3 linked regions of the Oreochromis niloticus genome follow. The protein of the gene in region 3 interacts with the protein of the main gene of each other region in a pairwise test. Links are inferred from orthologs where the notes say so. Each region holds a gene or a part of one and is shown on either strand. Other genes may lie near its edges.

Region 1 (6,983 bases), on a different chromosome or scaffold from region 3:
TAAATTCGGCTCACTGGTCAGATCAAAACCGTCCCCCCGGTGTCTCAGTGAGCCTGCCCCTCTGAAATGACTTTATTGATGTGTCTGGGAGGAGTTTGAGATGGCGGCCAGGGGTTATAGCCAGGGGGCTTTTTCTAGTAAGTCAGGTAGGTGAGAATTTCCGGTCACTTAGGGTCGCAGGTTTTGAGCGAGGGTGGTGGCCATAGCCCCCAAACAGCTGTTTCACAGAGATCAGGTTAAACCAGACCTCCTCCACTCTCTCACTGGTCAAAGCGAGAGCCTGCCTTTCTGAAATTGCTTTACTAATCAGTGGTTTTTCCCAAAAGGCTAGGGCCACCTCTAATTTTAAATTGCTTTATTGGTGGATCAGGGAGGACCCCCAGTTCGGGGGTCACACTGTGAGTCAGAGAGATTGTCATTTTACCCACACTGGCTGCTGTGTGAAGAAGCATTTTACTTTTCTCTGGGATGCTCGCTCCTATACAACCGTCTCCCACTGAGGGGGAGTGTTTGTAAGTCTTTGATTCTGATTTTCCTTGTTTGGATTAAACAAGTGCAAATGAAATGTAATAAAGCTTTCCATCAGGCACGCAGCCTCCAACTCTCCCCATCCTCACTATTACAAAAGCACCGGTTTAACTAAGAATAACTTAAATTTAACTAGAGTCCAACTGATATATAAATAATGGAGCCAATTTGCCAATATATCAGTACTCCCACTTACAACAGCCGAAAGATGAATATTAAAAAAGTAAAGAGGAAGTCAGAGAAATGCCCTGCAACACGGGTGTCAAACATAAGGACCCAGGGCAAGATTTCAGTCTGACTTCAATCCTGCCCACGGCATAGCTCTGGAAAATGTGAAGGAAAACATTTTGGACTTCTAACTGTATTTTCATAGGTTTTACAGCTTTTGCTACATTTATCTTACATCAAAGTAATTAAGTAATAGAAAACAATCAAATGACAGAAAACTTCTTATTTTTCCCCGTTTTTTCTTTTTTGTGAATTAACAAAAATCTTCTTATTTATACTTACAGCCCAGTCTGGGCAATGAGCTCCCAGACTCTTAGTCTGCATTTTTACATATGTAGAGAATAGCTTAATCCCGCAGAGTCATGCTGACTGATTTCTTTCTTTGCTGGAGCAGCATTTCTTCATCATGTAGAAAAACAGAGATGTGCAGTTGAAATTAGACTTCTTTTTCTATTATGAAGATATCTCAGGGATTAAATGTGTACATTGACAGAAATTGGAATTTCACTAGTGGTGCTTTGTGTGTGTTTGGCACGATATAAATGAGCTGAACTGAACTGAATTGGTCTGGCTTGTTTAAGATCAAAGTCGACTACATGTGGAACACAATGTAAAATGAGGCTAATGTCCCTGTCCTACAACTATGCTATGACTGATATTGCATAGTTTGTCCAACAGAGGGCACTCTGCAACTTCCCATTTGGAAAAGGGTATTTTGAAGGCCACAAACAACCAGCTGAGTAGTCCAGAGCATAAATTAATTTAGACACAGCCCCCAATTTTCAGAGATTTAAATGTAACCAGACAAACATACATAATTTTAAATATCAGAACTGGTTTTTTAATAGTAGGATGAATTTACAGAGGCAAAACTGCAAAATAAGGCTATTGTGCAAATATTTAAAGAAATAACTGCAACAAATGCAGCAAACCTGCCCATGGTCAGGAGACAATGACCAAATCAAAACCAGGGTTCAGGTAATTTGAGCCTGAGGACATGAATATAAAGTAAATGCTATTTGTCATCTATTATAGGGTTATAAGAACAGAATTATCACATTTTTCCCTTATTAATTATTGTATTACTACATGGTCACAGTCTGGCAGTGCTTTACAGTCTCTATACTAGAACATTGAAAATGTTTCAGAAAGTTTTACATTAGTACAACTTACTGTGCTTTGAAAACATTAATGTTTGGTTTTTTTAACAAAATGTTACACAATATGTCTATTAGCACTAGGACAGGGCTGTTCAACTAAAGTTTAAAGAGTTCCAGTTAGACCAAAGGTCCGGATGGTCACATATATATATATATATATGTGTGTATACATATATATATATATAGATATATATATATATATATATACATATGTGTGTGTGTGTGTGTAGTATATATATATATATATATATATATACATACATACATACATATATGTATATATGTAAAAAACCTATGTAAAAAACCTTTCTTACAATGTTTTGGTCAGATAAAAATATATGGGTTTTTTAAAAGTTTTTAAAGTTGCTTTAAAGATTGAGCCAGGAACTACTCAATCTACAGATTGGTTTAAACCATGGGTGTCGAACTCCAGGCCTCGAGGGCCGGTGTCCTGCAGGTTTTAGATAACACCCTAGGTCAACACATCTGAATCAAATGATTAGTTCATTACCAGGCCTCTGGAGAACATCAAGACATGTTGAGGAGGTAATTTAGCCATTTAAATCAGCTGTGTTGGATCAAGGAAACATCTAAAACCTGCAGGACACCGGCCCTCGAGGCCTGGAGTTCGACACCTGTGGTTTAAACGAATGGCTAACTCTTGCATTTACAGAAATGTTTATTAATGCACATTATCCCTGTTAAAAATTTAAATAGAAAATAGAATGCAAAAATCTAATATAGAAAACCTTAAGTATCTATTACAAAGATGCATTTTAAATACATGTCAATACATCCAGACAAAACAGAAGAGCTCCCTATGCATTGTGAAAAATATCCCTGGATCATAATTCTGACCAAGGGCGTAGATTTGGTTTTGGCATTGGTGGGGACGGATGACTCAACCACCGAACCCTGCCCTGTTTCTTTTTTTTTTTTCCTTTTTGTCTTTGCTTCTTGATAAAAAAAAAGGAGAAATATACGTGCCTACATATGCTATTCTACATGCTTTTAAACCATTTAAAATTACAATTCATAGTTTTATATGTGAATTATATAATGTTCAATTACTATTAAACAAATGACTAAGTATTTTAGACTTTAGTTTACTTCAGCCATATTCCATATAAATCAGGTATCATACAAAAATAAAAAAAAGCTTGAAATAGAGTCATGACAATAAAAGAATATGACTTCAAGGACTTAAAAACATTACTTCAGTTATAATACACCAACATCTCTTACACATTAGTACTAAGGGAACACTGAATGACCTGGTGGTTTTTGTCCATAAAACTACTCATCTAAGATTACCACAAAGTAAAAGATCTCGCAGCAAAATTATGCAACATTTTAGGCACACTGTTGCCCCGATCAAATCAGTGAGCTGGGACTTTTTATTCTAAACATGAACTACTGTTACAGCAACACACATGGATTACTGGTGCCCCACACAACAACTCAATGTCCACTATGTGAAGGAGTCTATACTATACTGTCTATACTATACTGTCCTGGTGGACATGGCAACACTTTTTTCATGGTTACATACAGTTTTAGACTGATGTGGGCCAAAGCCTAGCACATACTTGCCAACCTTGAGACCTCAGAATTAGGGAGACATTCAAAGGGGTTTTCTGACATACTGCAAAAACACAAAACTCTGGAGGAATGTGAGAATTAATTCATCTGGATCTGTAACAAACTCAGCCTGATAAACAGAAATGTTCTCTCAAAGCATATTTTAGAAATACTGTGGCTTAATTTTCTAGAAAAACCTGCATCATATGATATCCTGCTGCTATTAGCAGACACTCTGGGCTTCCGCAGTTGCAGTCAACACTGTTATTCAGACGCTTCTCATAAACAAAGCTTTGATCAGTGCTTTTACCAAACATCCTCCTTGTTCCAACCACCACTTCAGCTCCTGCTCATCGCTTGTAGGTGAAAGGTCATCGGCCGTTGAATGGCGAGTAAATTAACCTGCCCCGCCTCCTGACGTCACGTATGTCCCCCGGCTGTGATTGGCTGGTCGTTTAATGAGCGCTGCAGAACAGAAACAGAGAAATCCAACACGTACGGCACGCTGCGTGTGTTGAAGTGTGAGCAGAGCTGCCTCACTGAGCCAAGCGGACCCGAAACAAACCAGCAGGACTGCGGCTCAGAAGAAAGATAAGGGAGAGAAGAGCCTCGCACTGAGAAAGATAATCATCCTTATTTATAAAGCTGGAAGCTCATTTTATATTTTTATTTTGTTGGTTTTTACACTGCAGCTGATAGCGGATGTATTTTTTTCTTTATGTAAATGAGATATTTTTATGCGCCTCTTTGCACGAGAGTGGACCTTGCAGTAGCATTTCTGCTGAAAATCTCTAGATAAGAACAGTGAGGGAGAAGAAGAGATGGAGAAAGCACAGGGCTTCTCTCCGGACAGAAACGTCCTCTGCCTGTTTGATGTGGACGGCACTCTGACACCACCGAGAGAGGTGAGCTCGCTTCCCATCGATAATGTTATTATTATTGTTATCGGTTATGATCAGCTTTCATGACAGCTCTCTCCTCTTCTGCCCTCATCATTTGCCTCTAATGAGAGGTACCTCACTTTACCTCACTGTAGAGAGAACATCAGAGGAGAACATGGTGTCCTGATGACTTCACGTGCTCTTTCTCACAGTGTTTACTTTCCTTTTTGCGCTCTTTGCGCCTCCTGTACACATACCCAGGTACTGGTCTGCGGGGATGCACATGGGTGTATATCTTCAATGTTATATTAATGGTGCTCCAGGGCGATCTCTGCAACTGACCAATCACAGGGCTGTGATGTCATAGTTGCAACTCGGAGAAAAAGACAGAACAAAAGTGCAATAACTGCCAACCAGGAGGTTTCAGTCCAATGTGAATTCAAACCTGGATTCATTATTTTAGGTGTTTTTTACAATTTAATTTCAAAGTTTTTAACCTTTCACAACATCAACTGTGCATGAGAAAGCTGTTCTATCATAAGTTACTGAAGGCAGGCTTCGCCATTCAGCTGCAAAGCCTCTCAGTGAGGTACACATCTTGCTGTGCAGAATATCTCGTAATGCATGGCTCAGCTGGCTTATTGCAGGAAATTTAAAATAACCATTTTTATTACCACTTATGTAAGGGTTAATGGGGCCTTTGGTTTTTGTATCTGGAGCATTTGATTTGTGCACACTCTCTTGTTCTTTTGTCTTTGACTTTCTATGCTCAGGTTCATGCAGGGTCACTGATGTGTGTGCATGTGTGTGCGCGTGTGTGTGTGTGTGTGTGTGTCTAGGACGCGTCAGCGCCCGGATATTGCATAATGTGGTCTCCTTTGAGTGCAGCTCGGGGAGTTTTCTTCCTTACATCGGGAAATTTTAAATCTGCTCCAAATAAATGACACTACATCTCTTTGCAAGACAGACTGAGCTTGTTGTTGATGCCAATATGTGTGTGTGTTTAGGTGTGTTTGTGTCATTAAAACATAAAGTGTTAATTAAAGTGTGCTTTTCCCGTTTGTAGAAAATCGACCCGGAGCTGGATGAGTTCTTCCAGACTCTGCGGAAGAAGGTGAAGATCGGCATCGTGGGAGGGTCGGACTACTCGAAGATTGCAGAGCAGCTTGGGGAGGGAGATGATGGTGAGTGGTCCTCTTCCTGTCTCAGCCACAGATGCTTGCGAGCTCCATCACCCAACATGCCGTGACACAGGGTGCAAGGAGTGGAGCTGAGGTTATGATTAATTCTGGAAGTAATTTTGGATTTAAGCTGCAAATTAATCTAAAGCAAGCATCCTTCTAAAAGTGAGACCTGCCACAAATAAATAACAGCGCAAGCTGGTTGGGCCAGTCATTAACTTCATGTGTGTTGCAGTTGATGAGAATGGGTTAGTAAATGTCTCACAGTGACTAACAGGTCAAAACATGCTAAGCCTAGTCGCCCTGCACTGTGACTACCATCTGATCTCTCATGGTATGTTCACTTCACTTTATGATCTTGTGATTCCCCAAACCAGCAGCCAAAGCACACATCGTAACACTGGGCATCGCACCAGCAGCCTCTCAGCTGAGTTCACGCCCAGCTGCAGCGGGCAGGCTGATAACCTGCCTGTCAGTAAATATGAGGTTACTGCTGGAATGCAGCTGCATTGTGCCTAAAAAGAGCTAGGCAGTTTCATTTACCCTGCCAAGTGTGCCAAAGGTGAACCCTCACTTACTTTGTGTTACAATGTCACAGGTAAATATTAACATTGCATATATGAAATTCGATACAGTTGTTGTAACTAACATGTTTTTATGCAGTTCTACATGCTTTTGTTTTACTGGCTTTTGCCACTGTTCAAGTTATAAAAGCGGCTTTAACACAGGCTCAGCTACAGAGCTTCCTCGATGGCTGTCATTGTCTTAGCACAGAGTGAGTGTGAAAGTCAGGAGGATTAAACTCGTCCAGCCAGCGTTACATACGCTTTAATCTGCTGTTGGGTAAATATAGCAGGTATGTCTTCAGATTAGCGAAGGACCTGCTCCAAATTTAGTATGTAGGCTAAAGAGAAATAGATGAGCACATTTAGGTACATTTGACCCGTCTCTTCTCTTGCAGTGATACACAAGTTTGATTATGTGTTTGCTGAGAATGGGACGGTGCAGTACAAAGATGGGAAACTCCTCTCAAAACATGTGAGTGCTCCTATACTGAGATACATGTTTTTATGTCCTGAATCAAAAAATAACAGTAAAAAGAATACAAGTAGAATTGTAATGAAAGGAAGATTGCACAAAAGCATAAACAAAGTAATTTGCTGTCATAAACCATGTTGTAAAACTTAGTTATACTCCATTTGTTTACCCGTGTCATTTCGTGTACTTTAATCCCTGCAGGCCATTCAGAACCAGATCGGGGAGGAGCTGCTGCAGGACCTGATCAACTTCTGCCTCAGCTACATGGGACTCATCAAGCTGCCAAAGAAAAGGTGAGATAGTAAAAAGAGCTCACAAGAATTAGGCTACAAGCTATTTTAACCTAAGGCAGAAAGACAAACCTGAATTCCAGCTTTGCAGGAATG
Region 2 (7,640 bases), on a different chromosome or scaffold from region 3:
TCTACCAATGCCAAGTAACCACCTACCTATCCAATTACACCCCTGAAGATAAGGCTAAGTAGTCAAATATGTTTTCGATTCACATGGCACCCAACTCTTTGATTTCGTTCACAGTGAATACCCCTAAGTGTGTAGGCTACTAAAGTAATGTGATTTTGTGCTGTACACATTAGAGTTCCATGTTTGCCTTCCTTTTTGTGTATTTATCACCAAAACTGAGACACACAAATTCATGCAACATGCATATCCTCACTGATAATACCAGCGTTGTTATAGACCCATTTCAATGATAGAAATGTGGACATAACTGACATTTTCATTGGTGGATGCTCACTATTAAAAAAAAAAAAAAGTCCGGTATTACATGTCTGCTGTGTGATCCTCTAATGTGTTCTTAATGCTCCTGGATTCATTCAACTGGCAGTGGTTTTATATTGTTTTGCTATAGCTTGTAATACTGAGTGGGGCATAGTTTTCAAGTCGGTGTTTATCATAGAGTGTGTGTGTCAGACAGAAACTAAATGAGTTGTTGTTGTGAAAGACTTTAGGAAACAAAGTGAAAGAAATGTGTACACGTCATAAAGAGCAGTCATGCAGAGCCAGAATTTAAACATTCAGATGATTTCACTTTCATTTTTGTAGTTTTTAAATTTGTTTCTATTCAGCAATGTCTTTTGTTATTGAAATTTCAGTTACCGTAAACCAACACACCTCAGTGTTCATTTGTGCTCTAGCACTGCTTTTGGACCTCAACAGCAGTGTAATCTTTACACAACGTGGAGCAAAGAAGAGCCACCAGTGCTGATAGAGGATACAGTGGGCTGTGATGTTGAATAGCTAGTTACGTCCAGCGTGTCAGCCTAAGAACAAACACTTTCTTTGTTACTTGAAATTTTGTATGTACCATACTTTCATGTAATAAAGCCCTCTGCATTTGACTTTTACCATTTACAATAGTTTCTGTTCGCCTTTGTGTTGACGTGTGTTATTTAAGCACTGCTCATAAACAGCAATCTGCAACTATAATGGGAAAGTATCTATGAAATTTATGAACAGCCATCAGTGTTAGCATGCATTGGTATGAGACAGTCCCATCTTATGAAAGTCAGATGAACTTCAGTGTACTGGTATAATATACATTCACAAGTTTGCAGAGACATTTATAGTGGAAAAAAAGAGGAAACTACAGTGTTTGTTTCTACAGTGACATAAAACGTCACCATCTCATCATCTTAAATACCACTTAAATAGCTTCCTGTAAATCCCCCCACTGTAATTTTAAAATCACCACCACCAGGTTCTCGTTCTCTCTCTCTGCTCCCTGTTCAAAACAAACAAATGCATTTTTTTGGGTCATACAAATCCCAACTTTCAAAAACATTTAAAAACATTGAATGAATTCTGCAGAAGTGCTCCTAAAACTTGTACTAGCATGCCCCCTTCAGGAGCGAATAAAAAAAATAATGACATCCACCACCACACAATTCATATGAGTCATAATCGATTAAAAAAATGAGTTTAATATTTAGTTAAATGAAGATCAGAGCCATAATATAAGAAAACCCGTGTTTGTTTGTAGATCAAGCATTCTGACTGAACATCTTTCCTCTCCATATTTCCCACTGGCCTTCTACACTCTAAACTTTGATAAGCACTGCTCTTTAAACAGTCTGTATTCTACAGGAAGAATGTGCAAAAATAGTTTTTGAAGAGGACAAACCTCAGAGAGCTGTATTTCCGTTTTGCTCCTCTAAGAGCAAACGTTATGATTCCACATCCATACGATAGTGTGTAAACTGAAAAACACATTATTTAACCACAGTTAAAACAGTATATCCCCTGAGTATCTGAATATTCCATGTATTATATAAAGTCTTATATTTAAAGTATTGTGGTCTTACCATGATATGAGTGGAGGTGCAAGAAAGCAACAAATAGTGCAACAGCAAATCCCCAGTAGGTATCTAAGGAGAGTTTGATGGTAATGTTTAGCTTTTATACAAAACCAATCTAAATATGGACTCTGATGTAAGATTAGGATTCTGTCTTTGATATAGCAGCGGGAAGTACCTCTGTTGTCGTAGGGAGCACCTTTACATCTTTTAGTATGGGCAGGCAGGTCTGAGCAGGGTAGAAAAGTCAAGACAGACATTGTGACAAGCAGAACCTGCAGTGCATTATGTAAAATTACATTTTTCTTTTTGGAAAAACATTTCGCTTTAAATTTTGGTGTGAATTTTATAAAAAATTCTACTTACCAGTAAAAATGCCCAGAATCTCAAACGCTATGGTGCAAAATATACCAAGACATACTGGAACTGCGAGTGCTGAAAGTGAAAGCAAAAATAATAAATGGGTCGTTATTCAGTCTTGGCTCAGCCAGAGGTTAATTACTTTGAACAGCGGCTTAAAAAGTGTAACTTACTTCGAAATGGCCTATAGAAAGCCATTCCACATCCCAGTCCAAAGCAGATTGAATAGAAATGGTAATATTTATCTGAAATGTTCAGAATAATAGGTTTCAAATGAATATTCTACAGAAAGGAACATCTCTGCCAAATCTGTTGATAATAAATAAACATAATAAATATACATACAGTGTTGATAAAAGTCAAAAATTAACTTCCTTTTGTACTCCTGAAAAAGAAATGATCAATAGGTTGATGGATAAACATACAACATGCTGCTGATAATAGGAAATAAGAAAAAACAGCATGTGAGAGAAAGTGAAAGCAGCAATGTACACACTGTTTAGACACACTGTTATAAATATAACAATGTGCCTACACAGAGCAAGAGCTACAATCGTAGATAGAAAACCTCAGCGAAAGGCAGAAACACAGGTGTACACACCATTTCAGCTCAGCTGCTCCTGAAGTCCCCAGGCAGGTGTAGCAATACAAAACAATCAGCATTCAGTAGACAACTTCCTCAAACTACTGCCAAGGACTGTCACTACCATGGACGGAAGTCCCGCTGACACAGTTTTTCTTTCACATTCACGTGTGTCAAAGGTTAAAAACAATAAGACAGTGCTCTGTCACCTTGTGAACTACTAGATTTGAATCATGTCCTCAGTTGTTTGGCATTCAAATAAATTTTTTTTTAAAGCATTTTTTTTTTTTTTTACTGTAATTTACACATAAATACACAAAAAAGCTGACAGTCTTTGCACTCTTTGATCACATAACCACAACCTGGTGTCAGTCCACGTAGTTCATGAGCAGATTTAAGTCAGGGATAGAGACCTTCTGACCATTTAACAAGACTTCTAAAAGTACTTAATTGCCCGCTACTTTTATAATAAACTTTTTCCATTTTCTAATAAAGAAGGAAAATAAACAAAATATTAAATATTTTTTTGTGATTTTTTAAAATATATATATATATATATATATTCATTAGCCCCCTTTTTGTCAGCTGTACATCCATGACCCAAATCTCCCATTGTATCACATCCCAAGGGTGCTCTATTGGATTGATATCTGATGACTGTGGAGGTCATTTGAGTAGAGTGAACATGTACAAGAAACCAGTTTGAGATCATTTGAAGATGGTTATCCTGCTGGACACAGTCAATAGAAGATAGCCACAGTGTAAACAGATGGACATGGCAAACAGCAGAATTCAGATAGACTGTGGCATTTAAATGATGCTCAGTTAGTACTAAGTACCCCAAAGTGTTCCAAAGAAAAAATCTCACACACCATTGCGCCATCAGCATTAGCATGAGCAGCTGATATAAGGCAAGATGGATCCATGCTTTCATCTTATACCAAATTCTGTCCCTACTATCAGAATGTTTCAGCAGAAATTAAGACTTATCAGATCATGCAATGTTTTTTCCAGTCGTCTATTGTCCAGTTTCCTGTTCTTAGCTGCCACTTGTGTGGAACCCGGTGTGGTCTTTTGCTCATCTTCTTCAACGTTGCACGAGTTGTGCATTTAGAGATGCTGTTCTGCACACCTTAGTTGTGGTGAATTGCCATTTGAGTTACTGTTGCCTTCCTATGAGCTTGAAGCAGACATCAACCATGCTCACTGGATATTTTCTCTGTAAATCCTAAAGATGGTTGTGTGCGATAATCTCAGTAGAGCAGCAGTAAAGTACTCAAACCAGCCCGCCTGACACCATCAATCATAAAACTTAAATGAAATTCACCTAACTCACCTTTCTTCCACATTCTGATGCTCAGTTTGAACTTCAGCAGATAATATTGGCCATGTCTACATGCCTGGATGCATTAAGTTGCTGCCATGTGATTGGCTGATTTGATATTTGCGTTTATGAGCAGTTGAACAGGTGTACCTAATAAATAAAGTGACTGAAGATCATATTTCTATAATTAACTAATCTATTGTTCATTCGACAAGTGAGTATAACGAAAATACCCATAGACTCTAATAAAGATCCTAATTCCCAATGTAATTATAGTTGCAATTTCACTATTGATTCTCTAGATGGCGTTTCAGTAAACTGTGGGGTCCTGTCTCGACAGACGCAATGCATTCTGGTACTTGTAGTCAACGCGGCTTCAGAAGCAAGGAGTACTTGAGGTGGCGCGCTTCACTTAAAACTACATTTCCCTTCGTAGTCACGCTGATTTGAATGCCGTGTAGGGGGGAGCTTTTTTTTTCTAATCGATGATCTCAACTGAAGTTTCCTCTGTCAGCTTCAAGAAGGGACAGAAAAATATCGAGAATGAGCAAACTGTTGTCCAGTTTAAGCTCCGTCGAGGTCCGCAGTGAGAGAAAGCCCGGGAAACTAAACACAGTTTAAGCCCAACAATGCGCCCCAAACAAAGAAGGCAGTGATTTGCGGTCTTGGTGGTTTGCTCCGCTGCTCCCGCTAGTCAGGGCTGGGTCCCGTTACAGTTGGGAGTCGGCGGCTCGCCAAGATGTCTATGGAGGAGCAGGAATATCCTGAGGCGGTACTGGTGACAGAAGCCGGGCCGCAGTGGCTCCAAGCCGAAGTGGAGCGTCTGACCCGGGAGCTTCGCGAAACGACCCAGGAGAAGATCCAGGCGGCTGAGTATGGGCTGGCGGTGCTGGAGGAGAAACAGCAGCTAAAGCAGCGATTTGATGAGTTGGAGACGGACTACGAGACGGTCCGACAGGAATTGGATCAGCTGAAGGAGGTAACCCGAGGTCACCGCCACGCAGCCAGATATAAGTCCTGGCATCAGTCAGTATGTGAAGGCGAGGAGAGCAACTTAGTGCATGTTATAATAGTAGCACGGTGGGAATTTAGAGTGACATCGGGGATCAAACTAGAAGCAGTCGGTAGTGGGGTTTGCTTCCTCTGAGCCCCAGCCCCATGTCTATTTATATCCCTCCTGCCTCCTCAAATATTATATGAAGTTTGAAATATGCATAACCACCTCCAAGCAGAAATATTGCAGTGTTACCTAATGTTGCCTCGCCTTAAAGGATGAAAACTGTCATTAGTTTGGATTACTTGCCTTTACTTGCTCCAAAGGCTGAGGCCTTGAAATCAGACTGTAGCTGCAGTGGCTTATGTCACATTTAAGCCTGTTTGGCCAATTTGCTGTTAACCTGTTTAAAAATAACATAGAAGTTTTTCCAATGGTGAAATCACTAAAAAAAGAAGTTAATAACCCTGAATATCTGTGTTTCTTTTCATCTCCTAATAGCTTGTCTGTTGAGACATTTTTAACCCACAATGTCAGCCAACCCCTAGGCCCTTCAGTTTCACTGTAGAGGAATAACCTCTACAGCTAAATATGACAGGTGGGCGAATCTATGAATCTAGTAAACATTAAGCTAAAGAAAGATAACTTGGCAACACTTTTTCACAGCAACTCATAAGACGCACCACCAGCCACTAAGATCCTAACATGTGGGAAAATCTGTCTGTATTTCATTAGAGAATAAAGAAGTGTGTGTGTTGGGGGTGGTTGGGAACTTCCCTTCAGTTCAGTCTTAAGACTGTTGTCACATCCAGTCTGTCAGTCAGTAGAGGAAATGCATCCTAAAGCACTTCCACATTGCTGTCTGTCAGCTGTATGTCTAAATGTCCAATTTCTATTATTAGTGTCCTTCAGTGTTTGTGTTCACGTGAAATGGTGATAGGTCATTGTGTGTAGGCTGGGCTTAAATGGGTCGCAGTCTTATTAATACCTTTATACAGGAAATCTAGTCTAATATCATGAAATGTAAATTAAAAAGGAGGATGTGAGATTTTTGCCACTACCGGGAATTTTCTGGTTTATAGATTATAGTTGCATCACGAAGTGACTAATTGTTGTGGTCATTTACTTAGTATCTCATGACTGTGACAGTTTCCCCTTACTACAGTACATCGCTGAGTAGTGAGGTAGGTAAAGGAATCGTCCATCCTCGTCCTCTATCAGCCTCCTATCGATTCACATCATCATGACTGACCATGACTATGATCCTAGTTACACAGATCTGTTTGTCTGACTGAGAATTGGCCGGAAAAAGACATCTAACTCTACAGTGGGTTCCATTTGCTGTTACGTAACTGTTGACTTAATGTGTGTTTGGCTGTTTAGTAGGTAATTGTGCAGATATGGCATCAAATTATTCATCAGTTTACTGCTATTCTGAAAATTAGTTCACATTGCACCTGCTTAGTAAAACTATTCAAGTGACATTTTGCAAAAGATTCCAAAGACTGTTCCTAGTAGCTAGTTAAACATTGAAAGTAAAACACATGCTGCAGCTTTGGGAATATTGCTTGCCATTTATCCAATCTGTTTTAAAGTAGATAAATATTTATTTTATAATATCAAAGCAATATCTGTACAGATTTGTCTTTGATGATTATTTGAACAGTGTTTTTTAATTGCAGAAAAACACAGACCTGTCAAAATGTCAATAAAATTAAAATTTCTGCCAGATTTTGAAATTTACATTTGAGTACTTTGTAATCCTCAAGTGACTGAACTGTTTTACCAAGTGGTGGTCATGTATGAAGCTAGAGTATTTGATTTTATACTGGATACTTTTTTTTAAAAAGATTCTATATTTTAACATAATATTCTATCATTTATTTATGGCAGATATGCTGCAGTGCTCTATTTTTATTAGTTATGGTTTTATGTATTACTAGGCTTCAAGCATTTACAAATACACTTGAAAGCAGTTAGTTTTGTTGTTTATGGCCTTGTAATTTAATTATCAAAAACAATGAAAGTCGTCACATCCACTTTTTTTAGTCTATCTTTGTGATTATGCAGATTGTACTGTTCTGTATCCTCTAGTAGAGCATGACTGCTGTAAGAGTGTCACTTCACTATTGTAGTTTCTCACAAACCATCTCGTATTCTGTTACAGTATAATTGTTGTCTCTGCTAGTTTCAGTATTTATCGGTATTTCATGTTTGATGTTTTTTGTGCTAATGAATGTCTACATTTCATTTGGGATCCATAAAGGCTCTGTCATCATCATCGTTAAATAGAGAAACAAATTCATGTTAGGAAACATTTTATCATTAGAAAAATCAGTTTGGCCAAAATTGTTGTTTGAATAAGTTTCAGATGTAATCTGTGTTTGCAGCAAAACTCTTCTGTAACAAAAAAACCCAAAGAAATAAACACAGTGAATGTAACATGTAACCATGCATCCCCAATTTAACTACAATTTTATTTAGAGT
Region 3 (7,846 bases):
GCAGAGAGTACAGTCAAACCACCCACCCACCCCCGTCACACCTCGGCTCCCTTTGACCTCTACACGTTGACCTGGCCGCTTATCAGTTAATCTCTGTGCACGTGAATGAATGAGTGTCTTCTCCTGGGCCTGTCCCGCTCTGCTCCTCTTCCAGGTGCTGAAGAGGTGCTGAGCTGATCGCCTCCCCACCACACACACACACACACCACTCCCCCACCTTCTCTCCCGTAGTCTCTCCCCCTCCCTTGTGCAGTGATGCTTGTCCTCCCCCTGCCGCACTACTCCGCTCTGCGCTACAGCATATGCTATAGCTCACTGAATGACAGCCATGATCACCCTCTGTTTTCCACTTGCCTCTGTTCTCCTTCCCCTCTCCTTCTTCTGTCCCTGCCTTTGTCCTCCACCTTACCCCCAGGGCACTCCTTGTACTTTAGCTGCACTCACTGCCATCGGTGCTCCTCTGCAATCGTCCTTGCATTGTGTAGAAGCTTTGCCTTTGCTGCACCCTTGCTACTCCAACCTAAACACACACACACAACACATACAGCTGATCCTCCTTGGCTCACCTCAGCAAACGGCACTGTAAACACACACACACACTTGCACTCGATGACAGCTCTGAATCCCACTCTCGCACTTCCTACTGAGGACTGCAGATCCACGCCAGCACACAAAGCTCCTGCCTGCTGAATGTCATTTCATGACTGGAGGAATGGTCGCTCCCACAGCTCTGAGTGCTACAAGGACCCATAAAAACCTGCATACACACACATGCATACACACACATGCACACACGCACGCTCAGAGACACACACTCAAACACGCTGCCACCCAGCCCCTCAGTAATAAATCAGCTGCTTTGCTGCATCCAGTGAGGCTGAACCCAGTCAATGTGCTGCAGACCTGCTGTCCTGTGTTGTCCTGTGTTGTCCTGAGTTGTCCCCCTGGCAAAATTCAGCACAGTCCAACACCAAGAGTCATGTCTTGCAGGGATGAAAAGCTGTCCTGAGAAACCTATTTCTGGGCTCCATCATCTTGCACCCCCCCTCCCTCCCGCCTCTCTCCCTCCTGCTCTCCTTCACCTTCGCTCTCTTCCTCCTTTTCCTCACGTTTGTTCTGCAGATCTGAGTCCTGCCAACTACCTCTGTCTCAGCGTTCGGTCCCCATCTCTGCTCTGTGCTCTCCCCTCTCTCCCTCTCTCTCTCTCTGTGTCTCAGCCTCGTTCATCGCTCTATCTCTGTCACACTCTGTGAGCATGCAACACCCCTCCTCCTCCTTTCATAGATCTGCTCTCTCTCATCCCTCCTTCTCGCCCTCCCTCCTTCCCTGCCTCCTCTTGTAAATGTGCTTGGATTGCTACTCTGATCTCTGCTTCGGTTATGCTTGCAAGAATGCCTCCCACTGTACTGCTGTGCCTGTTCCTGCCTGATGTTGCACAGAAAAGACGGAGTTGTGATCTAACTGCGCCTCCTGCCCTGTGTTCATTGCAGTTCTTTGTTCCAGTCTGGAAGCTCGACGGTGTTTCCCTTCACTTCAAATGCTCTCTTCCTGGTTTTTTCCCCCCCTCTCATCATCTAACCTCATGATTCCAGGAGGAGGATTACAGGAGAATTGTAGCTCTGCTCCACCCCATCCCCCACATATCCCCTCCCTTTCTCTATCTTACTGTATTGGGGATGACAACACACCTATTTTACCCTGGCCTAACCTTCATACCCCTTTTTTCCGATTTCCCCTTTTCATCTTCTCTCTGTTCCTCATCAGTCTCTCCTCCATTAGAGCCCTTGCGTTCAGTCTCCCTCACAGGAGAGATGAGCACAGTGTTGTACTTTGGTGTGACATTGACATTAGATCAAGGTGGTGTGGGAATGTGATGGTCTCCATCCATTACGCACATGGATACGGTCAGATTCATACAATAATGCACAAACATCCCCTATACACTGTCTCTATCTGAACAAGAGAAGAAAAAAATAAAGACTTTTTTTCCCCAATATGTGAGTCATAGCAAGGTTTTCCCATCTAGAAGACTGAGTCAAGTTTTGCAGAAGTAAATGGTGTGGTGGCCTGACATGAGACCAGCGCACCAGGATGAAGTCATGACTTGAGGTGACAGCTTCGATTCTTTTGCACCATGCTTCCTTTTAGTCATGCTCCTTTGATTCTGGATTACACGCTTTTCAAGCTGACAGCTCAGTTTCTTGCCGAATAAGGTGCGTGACTTTGAGGAGCTTCGGGGGAAATTTGATAGCACCTCCTCAATTCAGGGTGCTGATGCATTTTTCAAAAATGAGCACATTCAAAATGCACAAGCTCTACAGAGGTCTACAGCGCAATCCGTCTTGCTGTGCGCGTGGAAACACACGTGCCGCATCCCTCTGTATGCTTATGCGTGAGAGGCGGAGAATGACTGAGTGAGGGAGACCGGGAGCAATGGAGAATTTGTTAATTCAGCATCTTCAGCGGGAGGGGCGGGAGATTTGGGGTCTTTCCCTGGCCAAGGACATGTGGCGTAGGAGTGCTATTGAGGAGAGAAGAGGGAGGGGAGAGGCAGCCGGCTCAAGTTGATGGCTCAAGTTTAATGAGGCGCGGGTCGCAACCAGAGCAGCTGAAGGGCTGGCATCAGCCGGTCAGCTGCTCTGCAAAGAGACTTCAGAGCTGCATGGCACATGAATGAGAGCGGGGCGCAGGTGTGTCTTCTCTTCAGTGACTTAGAACAGCTGGCTCAAGCAGGCATGAACTCACATACTGTACCTACACACTAATAATGCATTGCCTTTTATACTTAAAACCCCTAAAATGTAAACGTAATCCAGGCTAGTGAACAGTAGGGTGAAGTCAGATGTGTTTCCTCTGGTTAATTAATAGTTGAAAAAAACACTTGCATCTGTAGGGTTCTGACATTTTAATTTATTTTCTGTTTCAGCTCATCTTTGATCTCATCAGGATGGGTATGTCCACACAAATAATACATGCCCTTACACAGCACATGTATCTTTAATAGGAATTATGTAAGAATTAAATTACCCTAACAACAAGGATGCTGGAATGACAAAATATTGAGACCAAAGATGGTTATCAGTCAGTGGGAGATTATAAGTATCTTGATTTGGTATTTAAATGACTGCAGGTAAAAAAGCAGAGGTGTAGTGTTCATTGCTGTATATGAGAGTGGATCATTTATATAATTTATTAAAACACTAACAGAATTAAACAGGTAGAATAAAGTATACTGCAGCACAAATTAGTGCCACGTAATTAAATCATGAAGCCTTCATGCCAGCATTTTCATTCATACATCCCTCTATCCATAATCATGTACCGTGTGTTTTATCGTTGTGTATAGTGTATTATTTTACTTATTTTGTATTTGTTTGTATTTTATTTGTATTTTTGTATTTTTCTTCTGCTATCTGCACCTGAGCTGAGGTAACGCACAAATTTCTCCACCATGGGATCAATAAAGTCTTATCTTATCTTATCTTTTCTGTCTTTGGGTGGAGTAAGTAAACCACCTTGTATGTTGCCTCGGGGCTTCATCCTTCAGGACAGCAGCTGTCTGATGAGCTGAAGGTCATGAGTAATCCAATAAAAGCTACACAGGGTCCTGTAAACATCACAGGCTGATACCAATTTTTTAAAAGTGTCCGACATAATAGAACTAACAAGTCAGACATCCACTTTCACAGCTACAAACTGCTACCCTCAACTGTGATTTAATTTCCTTCACAAGGACTCTTAATGCCAGTTGGCTTGATGCTAAATGGTTACCAGCAAAACCTGGCATTAATAGAGCGAATATAAGGCTGAACATGTGCACATTGCAGTGAGGTTTAAAAATAGGCTGAACAAAAAGAATGCCATTCTTTCAGCACCAACAGGACTGATTAACACTGTCGAATGCTATATGGGAGTGTTACACAGTTTCTTTAAACAACGTTTATTCTACATTGAAAAAAATGAAATCAAGTTTACCTAAAAACTCTGAGTAACAAAGAAAGAAATTCTAATGTAAATTTTACTCACTACTGGGGACTGTTTTTAATAGAAATAGTCATTTATTAGTGCTTGTTGTCTTCCTTAATCTTCTACTTCTGAAGGATTTCATCATAAGTGCTGACCCCGTGTTTGCGTGGGTTCCGGCTTCCTCCCACAGTCCAAAGACATGCAGTTAGTGGGGATAGGTTAAATGAAAACTCTAAATTGCCCATAGGTGTGAATGCGGGTGTGAATGTTAGTGCGAATGGTTGTCTGTGTCTCTGTGTTAGCCCTGCGACAGACTGGCGACCTGTCCAGGGTGTACCCTGCCTCTTGCCCTAAGACAGCTGGGATAGCCCCCCTCCCACCTCCCACCCCGCGACCCTGAACAGGATAAGCGAATGGATGGATGGATGGATGGATGTTAAAAAATGTTTCCATGTAATTTAACCATCGGTAAAAGTCACCGTCTAATTCTTTAGGTTTAAAAATTATTGGGATTCCCATTAAAATTGCTTAGTAGTGAAATCTCACCTGTGATGAAAGTACCCCCTCTAGTGGGCTTTAAAAAAACACACCCTGCCTTTTCCTTCTTTTTCAGCCTTAGCGCGGTAGTTTTTTTTCCCTCATAATGCTTCCAACTTTGTGAAATAAAAAAAAAAATCCACTGAATCATATGTATCAGTGCGTTGCTCTGCCAAAGGGGCAGTCTGGTTTTTCATTGTGGGTTTTTTGCTCCACCAGCAGAGGGCAGCACCGCAACATGCCAAGACACATCAATCCATAAAGTTGTATCTGAAGAAGAGTGGCCCGAGGTGGCTGGTTGGTTTGGTGTATATGACAGAGTAGAAGAGTAACGCTAACTTGGTCGCAGTAGTTAGTGAGGTGCTTAATATTGACTTGGACTTTGAAGGAATACGCTTCGAGCACAAAATTTCCTCAAGTCAGCCACGAGTGGGGCTGTTCATTTTCGCTGCTTCTGGACATTTGATAACTGACAACAACTGGTTAGTTAGCATTAGCTGACTAGCTAGGAAGCTCCCGAAAAGTAACGTCAAGGTTTGATTCAGTCATGTCTTCGGCCGGAGACTTCGGAAACCCTTTAAGAAAATTTAAACTGGTCTTTCTTGGTGAACAGAGCGGTAAGTCTGCTGGTAATTTTAAGTGTTGTGGGATGTAGGATTTAAGTTTTTTGCTCTGTTGGACATTTAGCTAACACCAGAGTTTGGTGGGTGATTAACGTCAACCAACTAGCTAGCTAACGTTAGCCACGTATCGTTAACACTTGGCAGTGATGGCATTACGATACAGTAACTTGTTACGAACAGTTTCTTCGCCTTGGCCTGATTAAAAAGGTGATTCATTTCCTTCAAAATGAGTCATGTCTGTGAAAATGGACTCTTACTTCAGTTGTGTGACGGGCTGTGATAACACATCATTAACGGAGGCATCGGAAATTACCAAGTGTCATTTAACAGGATGTTAAAATATGAAGCACCAGCATTATGTCTTCGTTATTGTAGGATAGGTGAACTCCAGTCATACCCTGCTGTGTTTAGAAGATGTTCATAATACTAGAGTGATCATAAATTCATAATTTCTACCCTGGAGCAACTTCCAAATTGGACGATCCTGCCAAGCAGCATTCCTGCGATCTCCCTACTAATTTACACTCCTTCAGTGTCTACACAGAGGGTTCGTGTGGGCTGTTTTTCATGTCTTAGGTAAAGCTGTGTGGCTGTTCGTTGTGTCGTCCGCGGTGTCCACAGATTTTAGGGTTTAAAGTAGAATTTGGATTATTGGTCCAGCGTTGTCTCTTTCTTTGGAATATACTTGCAACATATTTGAAGGAGCTGTTTCATGTTGCTTTATTAAAACAGTATGAAGTTGGAATTCTCGGTAAAGAGAAACTTGGATCAAACCTGAACTCAGATAGCCACCAAAGGACAATAGGGAAGACAAAAAAGGGGCTATTGTCAAGATGAGATTTTGCACCATTTATTCATAATTTTCCAGCAAGAAAGGAACAAAGAAGTCATGGCTTCTCCTGCTGTGATGTGAGAAGAATAACAAACCCAATCACTCACAAAAAAGGAAGCTAAATACATAATAAACATCTAAGCTGAAGAAATTACAAGAAATGTCAAAACCATTACATTGCACAAATATTTATTATAAGACATACCCAAGAACATTAAAAAATGCAAACGTAGAAAGAGTCCCTGCATACCTTTTTCCCAAAATATAAAACTTGTCTTTCAGTCGCACTGTGCCATAGACTGTATATAAAATAATACAGATCTCTTTAGAAAAGATGTGAGTTGAGAAGCTGCTGTGATAAATGAAACTAGGAAAGAATTAAGGAAGCAATAAGGAAGCCAAAACTTGATGACATTATTGACAAAACTGTAATAAATGTTTTTGCTATAATATGACCCGTAAGTCCCACCAAGATGGGAAAGACACACTGCGTTTTTCGGACAGTCTGTGATAAGCTGTGGCTCCTTTAAGCCTTGTAAACAGCAGTGTTGTCTGTAGCCCTGTCACCATCCCTTGATGGACATTGTAACTGATAATGTAACTCGAGCTCAGCAAAAACAGTCTGAGAACTGGCAGCACTGTGCGAGTACTCAGAGCTGCTGTGTGACTGTCCCTGATGTGTTAAAGGTATTCATAAATGTTTTTCTATGAGATTAGAAAAAAATTGAAGCATTTTACAGCTGCAAAGTTTGTAAAGCGTAGTTTTGTGTGTTGAACAACATTACAGAGTTTCATATTACATATGGACACAAACCCTCCATTGTGGATCAAATCAGCACCCTGGATACACTGGTGGGGGGAGTTCAGACATAAATGGCAAACTTTGCTTACAGCCCTTTTTCTCTCTGTGCTTTGCTCAACCCTCTGACTCCTGAATTACTTTGAACAGCTGTGCACTACACGCTTAGTGGACAAGAGGTCTGAAGAGGGCAGTGGGAGTTGTGTGACATGAAGCTGCTTGCTTTACTCTGTTATTAGTGGTCATCATCTGTGGAAAAGGGCCACAGCAGCTGCTTCGGGTTGAATAACTTTAAACACATTTCATTTCTGCAAGCTTTCAGAGATCTGCGTAGTTTTTATTTAGCCCTGAAATAATTATTTTGCTTACAGCTGAAATTATTAGTGAACTTACTTGATTACCAGAATCCTATTGGCTCCAGTTAAAGGCAGCTGGCTTGCTTTATGTTATTGCAAATTAGATATGTTTAGGTTTTAGACAGTTGGTCAGATAAAATAATCTGTTTGAAGACTTTGGGTGCTCAGAAAGTGTAAAAAGCATTTTCAGTTTTAAATTTTCTTCTAGTTGGGGGGAAATGTAGAATAGGTTCAGTTATAGAGGCAGTTCTTTTTTCCAGGGGAAAAGATGGACCTAATTCTTCTCCAAAATCAAAGTGATCGTGTGGTCATTGCACTCTTTAAGAGTTTCTTGTTTGTGTTTGTGCAGTGGGAAAGACTTCATTGATCACCAGGTTCATGTACGACAGCTTCGACAACACCTACCAAGTGAGACTTAACACCTCCACTTTTAACTTTAATAATCATTGATGATGCCTGATATCAACAGCAATACTCATTGGAAATGACTGTGAATATTTGGTTGATTCTTTTTTTTTCAGGCCACAATAGGAATTGATTTCCTGTCAAAAACTATGTATCTTGAAGACAGAACAGTAAGTTTATTTTTGTCACATCCAGTAACTCTGTTTTTGTTTTTCTTCTTCTTGTTCAGTTGCTTTTCTTTAGCCACTGAACTGGGCTCTTTCTAACACACACAGAGACAGCATTTGTACATTGCTACTGTGATCAGGAGTGTTGTATCCCCCTTGGA

What was found.
Region 1: the proteins of rab6a (region 3) and pmm1 interact in binary tests that used the Homo sapiens proteins (3 or more experiments, as listed by UniProt). The two-hybrid records come from large-scale screens. The link is inferred for Oreochromis niloticus from reciprocal best matches to the Homo sapiens genes RAB6A and PMM1.
Region 2: the proteins of rab6a (region 3) and protein bicaudal D homolog 2 interact in binary tests that used the Homo sapiens proteins (3 or more experiments, as listed by UniProt). The link is inferred for Oreochromis niloticus from reciprocal best matches to the Homo sapiens genes RAB6A and BICD2.

Annotation. Positions count from the first base shown.
Region 1 is NC_031969.2:9,512,811-9,519,793, reverse strand, and holds the start of pmm1 (phosphomannomutase 1), read left to right. Parts: upstream 1-3,979; 5' UTR 3,980-4,318; coding exon 4,319-4,402; intron 4,403-4,509; exon of another isoform or gene 4,510-4,564; coding exon of another isoform or gene 4,565-4,639; intron 4,640-5,444; coding exon 5,445-5,562; intron 5,563-6,520; coding exon 6,521-6,597; intron 6,598-6,798; coding exon 6,799-6,890; intron 6,891-6,983. UniProt on the Homo sapiens protein: Involved in the synthesis of the GDP-mannose and dolichol-phosphate-mannose required for a number of critical mannosyl transfer reactions. In addition, may be responsible for the degradation of glucose-1,6-bisphosphate in ischemic brain.
Region 2 is NC_031970.2:20,559,727-20,567,366, reverse strand, and holds the start of protein bicaudal D homolog 2, read left to right. Parts: upstream 1-4,640; 5' UTR 4,641-4,898; coding exon 4,899-5,138; intron 5,139-7,640. Other genes in the region: transketolase, read left to right, coding at 1-18. UniProt on the Homo sapiens protein: Acts as an adapter protein linking the dynein motor complex to various cargos and converts dynein from a non-processive to a highly processive motor in the presence of dynactin.
Region 3 is NC_031975.2:10,589,727-10,597,572, reverse strand, and holds the start of rab6a (ras-related protein Rab-6A), read left to right. Parts: upstream 1-4,767; 5' UTR 4,768-5,050; coding exon 5,051-5,120; intron 5,121-7,462; coding exon 7,463-7,521; intron 7,522-7,634; coding exon 7,635-7,688; intron 7,689-7,846. UniProt on the Homo sapiens protein: The small GTPases Rab are key regulators of intracellular membrane trafficking, from the formation of transport vesicles to their fusion with membranes.